Linked DNA regions of Yarrowia lipolytica. The protein of the gene in region 1 interacts with the protein of each later gene in a pairwise test. Links are inferred from orthologs where the notes say so. Each region holds a gene or a part of one and is shown on either strand. Other genes may lie near its edges.

Region 1 (7,312 bases):
ATAGACATGTTGCTGTTTTGGATCTTGCAATGAGGTTAGAATGGAATATAGAGCTCATAGACCAAAGTGGAGTTGATAGAAATGACAAAAACCTCTGATATATCTGGAATCCCAACTTTTCCTGTTTACCTGAGTCCCATCAATGCTCCTTTCAAGTGCCGTGTCAATCCGGGCATCGTACGTTGAACCTGACAGGTGCTAGAGATGGTACGAGCAGCCTTACTGGAGAAGAGAACTGCCGGTCAATCTACCTACATGAGCCCAAAGGGAACACGTGAACTTTTCTGTCTGTCAAAATACTTTCCAAGACAGTCATGTAACCCGCAACATCTCTGGTCTGTGTGGACCTTCTTGGACTTCCCTCGCTCCTGCCTGATACTGAACGGAAACAACTAAGACCAAGCAAACGATTTCTACCTGACCCCATTCGCCCCTCGATGGTCATATCTACATCCAATCTCGGTACTTGTAACAATAACATTAAGGGTATGGTGATATGTAAAAGGCGCTTCCCGCCGTGTCGTGCGAGGTCTAGTTGTCGCGGTAAAACTTTCTGAAAATGAAATGAAGCAGCAAGTTGGTGTTCATCTTGACCATGTCGTCAAACAGGTTGACCAGCTGCTGGTTGTTGTACTGCTGTGACAGCAGATCGTCGAGAGTCAGAGTGGTGGTGGCTCCAGGAAGAGCAATGCCGCCGTAGGCAGCCTCCACTGTAAAAACTCCAACCTCGTCGGACGAAAAGGTGAACATGACCTTGTCCTGGGCCTTGTCCTGGTATCCGTTGAGCTCCACAAGAATTCCCTTCTGCATCAGAGCCTGAGCAGAGTAGACAAAAGAGCCAAACTTGGGCACCTTGCCAGACTTTTGCAGCTCTCTCTGATGGAAGTACTGCTTGGTAAAGGGCAGAACAAGACCCTTTCGCTTGCCCTTCTTGGTCTGAAGAGTCGCCATGGCCTGCTCGATGTAGTCATTGTAGTTCTTGAGCTGCAACTGCAGGTAGGCTTCCTTCTCCGACAGGCCCTGGAGAGTTAGAGCAATAGAATCCAGCTCCGCATGTCGAGCAAGACGTCGGTTCTTCTTCGTCTTGATATCCTGCGCAATGGAGTTGACAATCTCCTGGTAGTTGTTGGCTCGGGAAATCTTCCCAAGAGTCTCCAGCTCAATCACCTTCTCCAGAGACAGCAGCTTGAGGTCTCTGTAGGTCATCTGGGAGAACTGGTGCTCCGAGGGCGAGTTACAGAGTCGGTGGAGCGACCGCGACGACTGCGACGAAGATGTGCTCTTGGTCATCTGCTCTTCAGATTCCCGCTTTCGTCTCTCAATAGCCTCCTCGGTCAGAATGGCTCTGTATTTGTCCTCATGAGACTGGTTGACAGGAGCCAGCAGAATATCCAGAAGAGAGGCACCGGTCTGGACTCGAATCACGTACAACAGGTACCGTTTCGTTTCGACCAGCATGGTATTGTAGGCCGATTCAGAGTCGTCTCCCTTGGCGAAAATGGGGTTCAGATCCAGCTTGACTTCGGTGAATCGAGCCATGTTGAGCACCTCGGTAGCTGAAGACGGCAGAGCTCCCATATCGGTGACCACCTCTCGAAGAGGATCCTTGGCATCAGGAGCCACGGTCTCGATTTCTCTGCAGATGAGATTGTGAATGACAAAAATGTCGTTGGTTCGCAGGAACAAAGTAGGACGCTTGGTGGCCGTCACATCGTCAGTCGTGGAAGTCTCATAGTACTGCTCCGGGTCACAGACGTCAACAACAAGTTTGAGCATGGCCCGAACTCGAGGCTGGGTCTGCTTGATGTAATCGTTGAGAGGCTGGAGGTAGACGTTCTCCCGTGAGAAAAGCCGAAGAGACGCAATCTGGGCCAGCATCTTGGCCACCTCGCCGAGGTTTCGTCGCTGAGCAGGTCCAATGGCAGACTCACACACTCCATAGTCGTCAGGAGCAACAATGGGAGGAATGACAAACAGAGAGACAAGAACGACTCCAATCACGGCCAGGTGGCGATCCTCAGACTCGTGGGGGAACGTCTTCTGCACAGATCGGTAACACTCTCGGGCAACGTATCGCACATGGTAGGGCAGTTGAAGAACAGATGATTCGATGGTATGCAAAAACTCGGAGGTGAGCTCTCGAAGACGCTGCAGGTTGGCAATGAACGTCTGTCGAGTCTCGGGGTCCTGGATAGCCTCATCTACAGGTAGGTTGGGGTCACGTGCAGAAGTTCGGCCACTGGCTAGCTCCTCCTGGTTGATCAAAGATCGGTAGATGGCAATGGGGTCGCTCTCGAGGTCCAGCATGTGCTGGTCAACAACGGTGCTTACGTGAGGGCCGAGAAGAGACTTGAGCAGCTTCTTGGGAGCAGCTCCTCGGTTGAGTGCCGCAAACAGACGCTGCCACATGTGCTTGTCTCGGACCATGTTCTTGGACGCGTCCAACGTGGAAATGTGAGCTGCCGCCGATCGCGAAATCAGCTTCAACAGAAAAAACTCTTCTCGGCGTCTCTGAGCATGTGCAAAAATGTTCATGGTCAGCGTCTCCACGTTCTTCATGTCCTTTTCTGGAGTGGAGGAGATTCGACCAAACAACCGGGTCAAGTAAGTTGGCCGTGTCTGAAGAAGGTAAAAGAAACCCTGGTAGAGCTCAAGACGGTGCCTTGAGGTTTTGTTGAGTGCCTTGAGGTTGAAAACGTCGCCATTGTCAATCTGAGGAACCGCAACACCCTTATTTCGAGTTCGAATGAGCTCATCCAAGGTGATCTTGTTCTTCACAAGCAGTGCAATCTTAACGTCCAGGTTCTGAATGAACTGCTCCAGCTGCTCATTCTTATGTACCTCGTCGGACACCTGCTTTCGCTGCTTCTCTAAAGTCACTTCCTCCTCGAAATCAAAGTCAGAGTCGTTTAGAAGATGCACAAACTTCTTGACAGTCGACAGAGGAGGGTCTGGAGAAGAAACCAGCGACTTGTAGGCATCTCCCTGGGTTCGGGCTCGCAAGTACGACTGGATCTTGATCACCTTGTCCATGTTTCGGTGGAAATGAGCCATTCGATCATTGTGTTTGGTTCGAACAAGTGCTGCTCGACATGCGGCCTGCAGCATAATGATACTGGGCTCCTCGTCAAGGAACTCTTCGATCATGAGAGAGTAATCGAAACGGGCAAGAACACCCCAAATGACCGTCTGCAGCTTGGTGACGGAAGAAGAAGCTCTATCCAGCCGCTCATGGAACCGAGCAAGCTGGTTTCGAACAATTCCAGCACGTACCGCGCTCTGGAGAGTCAGAACAGCTCCATGTTGACCGTTCAACACAGCCATCTTCTCGTTGATTACGTTTCGGACCAATCCTCCTCGAGCAGCGCACTGCAGCTCGCAAACGTCCTCAGAGATAGCTCTCAAAGCAGCCCTCTTGGCACCGACCTCCTGTCTCACCATCCATCCTCTGATCAACGACTGCAATTCAATCACTCCAGAAGACATGTCCAGCATGTGATTGGAGGTGGAAATGGTGGAAGACCGGACTTGAGAGCCTCTAATGACGCTCTGGAGGGTTGTGATTGCATGGGACTCGGATTGTAGAGCTCGAGCGATGTTGTCAAGCTCCTCTCGAACCGAATTTCCTCTGGAAATCGCCTGAAGCTCAGAAATAGCGTCACAACAGTTGCCCAACTCAGCCTTGGTCTTCAAAATAGCTCTTCTGACAACAGAACCTCGAATGATAGATTGAAGAGTGGTCACGTCGCCCAAATCACGTGACGACGTCTGTCGAACGACGCCTGCACGCACCTTGTTGCCCCTAGCAACAGACTGAAGGGTGACAATCTGAGACTCGGCAAAGGAGAGTCGATCGAGTGTCTTTTGGAACTGCTTTCTCGACAAATAACCTCTCAGAAGAGCCTGGACCTTAGTGACGTCGGAGGAAGATCTTGAGACCGCTCCCTGTTGAACCACAAAGGTTTGTCGGGGTCCCAGAGCTCTGATCAGAGATTGGAGAGCAATAATGGACTGTTCAGCCTCCTTGAGCTGTCTTTTGGTATCGTTGAACTCCCTTCTGGCGAGGTAACCAAAGCACAGAGACTGTAGTTCCTCAATATTGTCGTTGGCCTCGCACAATTCTCGGACCATGATTTCCTCCTCGCTCTCCTCGGGTTCCACGTGCTCCGGCTCGGGAGTCTGTTCCTCCATGCCGAGCTCCTTGTTCATGGACGAGAAATTGGGCATGCGGACACCGAGATTGTCGAGGCCACGTTGTGTTCGGGCGAGCTCTTCGTCTGAGAACTCCAGCTTACCCACGAGGTTGCTCATGGGAGGAGCCACACCCTCGACGTAGAGGGCGTAGGCAATGGCGTGAATTGTGTAGATGACTCGAGGGATGTTCTTTTTCTCGTAGAGATCGGTGAGTTCGAAAGTGAAGAGATCGGGCATGCCGAGCTCGGAAACCAGGGCGAAAAAGTAGTTGATGTTTTCCGAGTGTCGAAATTGAAGGCCGGGTCCCTCGTAGATTCGTTTGACAAGGTGTGGAGCGACAGCCTGGGTCACTTTGGCGAGCGCAATACCGTTACGAAGGTAGTCTTCGAGTTGGACAACGGGAGGAAGAGTCATCTGGGTGACTTCTTCAATCCATCTGAGTTAGTACAAGTTCCACGGGAGTGGTGATGTTAGGAAGGTCAGAAGTAACAGAAGGAACAGACAGATTGGAATTGTTATCAGGTGGATTTGGGGCACTGGAGGGGCAAAAACGGTGTGGTTTATCCATGTCTCTGTCGATTGACATCAAATATACGTCCACCTGTAAGGGATCTAGCCACGAGCGACTGGTTCACTGTCACTCCATCAGATGCGCTCAAATTCGCTCCCCCCTCCAAACCCACTCCACCATCCCACTTACTTCAGTCACATTCGCTTCGCTCATGCGACTTGGACTTTGCCCATAACTCACTCTTTGCACGCCCCCACATAGCACAAATACTCATAGGCAGCCAGGTTTTTTCGCTGCATGTCCATCCAGTTGTGTTTCTCGTCCTCCAGCTTCATCAACCGTACCCGGCCCTGCAGACCAATCACGTCTTCCTGGTCCACCGTCACGCCCGGCAGACGCAGGTTTTCAATGTCGTTGTTGGCGAGGTTGCGGAAATGGCTGGTCGACGACGACTTTAGAATCTTTTGGTTCCTCAGCGTGCCCGAGTTGATTCGGGCGTTGGACCGCGGTCGTAGCGGTTGTGGAGGCGCCTCGGCCCCCCCCAGCGTCTCCAAGTAGCGGCTTGCCACTCCCTTTTTGACCATGGCTGAGATGTGTACTGAATTGGCTAATTAACGCGGTCGTCGAGCGGGTGGTAGTTGTGTCGGTTCCGTAGATGGAGATGTTGCAAACCTTGACCGCTTGTTTTTTGGTAAACATGCACCTCTCCTATTATCACAACCTACTTTCCCGAAACGGCAACGTCCAAACAGACTGTAGCGAGGGCAATAAAGTTGCACCCCAAATGAAGATAATAATAACAACCGTGCATGGTCACGAGAACCAGGACGTAAATAGCGAGCGAGGCTGGGTGGTCACGTGACGGAGAAGACGAGAATCCGGGTGTTTGTAGGTATCTCCGGGTGTCTCCGGGTGTCTCCGGGTGTCTCTGGGTGTCTCTGGGTGTCTCCGGGTGTCTCCGGGTGTTTCACTCTCTTCCGTTGATCTTGATCTTGACCATCTCCTCTGTAGATCGAGATGAGCGTGAATTTTGGCTCTGCGACGGGGCTCAAAAGAGCTCGGATATCGCTCGATATCAACCTTGTCGGTCGTCGGATTTCGGACATGTTGCGGTGTTTCTTTGGCACGTTTTGGTTGGTTTCGGACGTGTTTCTTTGGCGCGTTGTTGGAGCCTCTTGTTAGGCATTAAACAGAGCCATAGATATATCTATTAAAAATTCTCTGATTAAATTATAATTTTTTATTTTGAAAAATAAACATGATCACAGCAAAGTTCCCAAAACCTGTTTTGAGTGGCTAATAAGCCCATTACTGGTGGAACTGACTGTATATATACAAGTAGATACTCTGAGACGGATGATTCTCTACCCTTTGTCCACCGTCAATCCCACAATTTGGGAGCTTGTTTTTTTATGTTTTGTTGATAATTTGTGAATTCTTGGTTAATGTTTTGTTAATGTTTTGTTGATAATTTGTTAATAATTTGCTGATAATTTGCTAACAATTTGTTAATAATGTTAATTTGTTGATAATTTGTTAATTTTTGCTATTAATTCGTTAATAATTTGTCAATAATTTGTTAATACTTGGTTAATGATTTGTTAATAATTTGCTATTAATTCGTTAATACTTTGTCAATAATTTGTTAATACTCTGCTGATACGATTTCTATTTTAATTCGGTTTACTAAAGACCCAAAACACAACATAAATAGTCCAAAATGGACAACGCCCGCTGACCAAACCCCCCAGAAATATTTCTGTTCCTCCTCCATTCACGTCGTAAAGTTCATGCATCAAAATCACAACCTCCTATTTTCAGTTTGACTTGATCATCACCACTACACACAAGATCACCACACGGCACCCAATACACTACACGCCATGCCACCCCCAGAAAAGCTCCATTTGACGGCCCAAGACGCGCGATATCTCCGAGACGAGTTTTCCTCGGCCGTGGACCAGAAAACGTCGCTGCATTTGCCCGGAAACGACCCCACCGACCCGCTCATCCTGCGCGTAAAACAACTTGTGTCGGAGTTCGTCACAGAAACCATGCAACTGTCGCGACACGCGTTGGTCGTGGACGGCGCGGAGATGGGACGGGTGAACTCCATCGACGCGCATCTGCGTGAGTCCACCGAGCACATTGAGCCGTTTGACATGGGTTTAGCTGAGGAGCTGAGACGGGTGTACGCCGAGGTTGACGAGACAACTGTGCGGTTGAGCGAGATGCGCAAGAATGTTCCCAAGGTCATTTCTGAACTATACAAACAGGCTGAAGTCAACTGCGCCGACATTGGCCAACCTACTGAGGAAGGAGTGACATTGGAAGCGGTGCTGGAGGAACTGCCTCCTGTCGAAGAGCTCAATGAGGAGGACAGAGAGACGCTGAGGCAGTCATTGCTGGAAATTAAGCGCCTGAGAGGAGCTGTTCCAGAAACCCATACGAGATTGGAGGAGCTCGGCAAGGTGAAGGAGGTTGTCGGAGGGCTTTGAGAGAGACCATACAATTGCGCTATCCGTTTTGACAGCATTAGCTGGAGCTGACGCGTGTCTACAAGACATAATAGGAAACTTGCTTGGAAGCATGCGACTCCTGGCATAC
Region 2 (3,113 bases), on another chromosome or scaffold:
TGTCCGAAGATCCGAAATCATGAGGGCAGCATCGTCTCCACCAGACATGACCAAGTTGGGGAACTCGTCTCCTCCAAAAGACGAAATCCAAGCTTCCAAAGAGTGCTCATGCAGCGAGCGGTCGATCTTGAGCTCGGAGTCTGAGATACGAATGAGAACAACCTCACCGGAAGTTAGAGTGGCTACCATGAGATCATTGAAAGTGGGACTGAACGTGATAGAGAGCACAAGCAGCGACTCATCAAAGAGCTGGTAGGACTTCTGCTGAGTCAGCTCAGAACCGTCCCACCTCCATGTGATGATGTTTCCGGTACTTTGACTGGTGCAGATGAAAGAGTGGTCGAAGGGGCTAATCTTGAGGTCCAAGATTGATGAGTTTGTTCGGCAGCTCTGCTGCAGTTTCAGCTGGTCGTCTTCAAGCTTGTAGACATCGACCGTACCATTTCGACTTCGGTCGTCCTCCAGCTTGTAAGTGGCCACAAAGATGATAGATGCATCATCAGGTTGAATCTGGATGGCACATGGTGGCAGATCGGTGATTGCAGACGTTATAGTGCACTTGTTGCTGTGGTCCTCCATTTAGTGTTCACGGAGGAGAAAAAAAAATAATTAAGGTGCGATTATGCATGAATGCGCTTATAGACCTGCTCACGAAATTGAGAAGGGGATCTACTACTTGTACTTGTAGTAATTTTACGAATGTGCTTTTGTATTGTAGCAGACAAGATGACTGAATCCGGCAAGATAATGAGCTACTCAAAAACGAAAAATTAGGACGGCACCATGTGACTGACTGACATCTCACAGACCATCGCTGGAAAGAGAGACCGTTATTATATACAGCGCCTCTCACATACATCGGCTGTGTCTCTTGTATCGTACAGTAGCCTGTCTAATTAACGTGATTATGTACAGCCCAAGTATCGTACAAGTACACAGATCAGTCAGTTGATCAAGAAAAGGGGCTAACAGGGCCGAGAATGATTGAAGCTACAGTCTTGGTGAGTTCACCCCTTGACTCCTATTTTTTATCATTAGGCTGTTTTACGGGATTCGTATCAAGATGTCATTTGCTGAGACCTATTCCCAATTGTATTATCTCTTCACAGCCCATGAACCTACAGCACCATAACGACACACCCCTGCCTACAGTAAAGGGTAGCTACCGGTAATAAATGGTAAAAATTCATGCTCTCGGCTGTGCAGGCCAGTCTCCATGGCGACAAGAGATCCGCGCTAAAAATACAACTCGTGTTTGATGGTGGATTCAACCCGAATAATGGAGGCAACCACTCGTGACAGCGTCTGAATACCAATGTACATTTTCAAATCTCTCTATAGGACTCACTCTACGAAGGGTTCAGTAACACGATAGACACACGCACTCACGTGTCCAAAGCTTGAATCTTAGGGTTAGGTCAAGTTTATTTGCGGTTTGTTTATGTTTGTGTACATTGGGAATAGGAGACGGGACAGAACGCATCAACACAAACTACACACAAAAATATTACAAATGGTGAGTTCAGAAATGAGAGACTTGTTGCACTCTTTCAAATCATCATGGCACCACTAACAAAGTCGCAAAACTCCAAATCTTTCAAGGACGCCTTTTCCCTGTTCGACAAGAAGGGCACCGGCAAGATTCCTGCTGAAGCTCTCGGTGATCTTCTCAGAGCTGTGGGCCAGAACCCCACCCTCGCTGAGATTGATGATCTGAAGCAGACCATTCCCGCTGAGTGTGAGTATACTACAGATATTTTCAAGCATCTAGGTGATGGGCCGATAATGGAACACGGTGTGGTGTGTGAGACGATGAACCGAAACATGTCACGGTCCAGCGAAATGCAACTGCGATAAATTGGGCGGTTTCAACGTGTTGGGGTATAGATTCGAGGAACCCGTATCACTTATATCGTGATCACAACGTGTTTGGATCTCTCGTGACAGAAACTTGCCCGTCAAGGGATGTTCCGGTGATTGATTCCTTCATTAAGGTCGTTAAACGGTAACCTCGAAGCGATCACATAAGTCTCTATGACGACAGGGGAGATGGGGTATGCCTAGATTCGCTCTTTCACACCTCTACCAGCATAAATCCACCCCCTCCATCAGCACTAACACAGTCGACTACGAGACCTTCTCCAAGATCGTCAACCGACCAAGCGGTTTCAAGTCTCTCGGTGAGCCCGAGGATTACATCCGGGGATTCCAGGTGTTCGACAAGGACTCCACTGGGTTCGTGGGTGTCGGCGAGATGCGATACATCCTTACCTCGCTGGGCGAGAAGATGTCTGATTCCGAGGTTGATGAGCTCCTTAAGGGAGTCAACGTTACTCGAGACGGCAACGTCAACTACGTTGACTTCGTCAAGTCCATTCTGGCCCAGTAGATACCTAATATATTTTTTATGTTTGAGCGATTCCCATCCGTAGCTACTTGTACTGGTGACAATGTCTTTGAAAGTGTCGTATTGTTTTACATAGATCATAACAGTGAAATAAATAGCTTATATATATAAATTAAGCAACCTGTTGCCGAAGTATCTCGTTGGAATATCAACTCAAGATGGGCAGGAAGTTGCCAACAATCATCATGGGGTTGCCAAAGACATCCCGTTTTAGGGTCCAGATACTGGATGTTTTGATTTTAGCACCGGTCGGTGTAAGTAGTGTACAGTCGGCCATAGTAGCTCCTCTTGAGTCTCCAAAAGCGATTCGAGAAAAGAGCTCAAAGTACTCGAGGACAGAATTGTCGTCCAGCAGCTCTACGATGAAGGTCTGCTGACCAATGAGACGCTGTTCAGACCAACCCGAGAGCTGACAGAACTCTTTTCCAACAGCAGCTAGTTGACCAGTACGTCTCCAGACAAGAGTGGGGGTTCCAGAAAACGAAATAAACTTTTGATACTCTAGGAGGGCTCGCTGGAAGCATTGTTCCATGAACACCAGGTCCTCCTCTTTCAGCGAGTTGGTACAGGCAATAAAAGAGGGTCTGTATTCAGCCATATACTTAGTCATCTGGACGAGCTGCTGTTTGTTGAAACGGCCTTTCAGATAAGAAATGAGTCCATGGTATCCAGGAGTGTAGCTGAATGGCTTTGTGATGTTAGTATA

The links.
Region 2: the proteins of YALI1_B06028g (region 1) and YALI1_E04033g interact in a two-hybrid assay, tested with the Schizosaccharomyces pombe proteins (2 studies listed by BioGRID). The link is inferred for Yarrowia lipolytica from reciprocal best matches to the Schizosaccharomyces pombe genes rng2 and cdc4.

Annotation. Positions count from the first base shown.
Region 1 is NC_090771.1:600,788-608,099, reverse strand, and holds YALI1_B06028g (uncharacterized protein), read right to left. Parts: upstream 5,290-7,312; coding exon 4,946-5,289; intron 4,631-4,945; coding exon 532-4,630; downstream 1-531. Other genes in the region: YALI1_B06015g (uncharacterized protein), read left to right, coding at 6,589-7,203. UniProt on the Schizosaccharomyces pombe protein: Component of the contractile F-actin ring; required for its construction following assembly of F-actin at the division site.
Region 2 is NC_090774.1:401,795-404,907, forward strand, and holds YALI1_E04033g (uncharacterized protein), read left to right. Parts: upstream 1-1,560; coding exon 1,561-1,738; intron 1,739-2,123; coding exon 2,124-2,389; downstream 2,390-3,113. Other genes in the region: YALI1_E04023g (uncharacterized protein), read right to left, coding at 1-579; YALI1_E04060g (uncharacterized protein), read right to left, coding at 2,556-3,113. UniProt on the Schizosaccharomyces pombe protein: Involved in cytokinesis. Required for the formation and function of the contractile ring.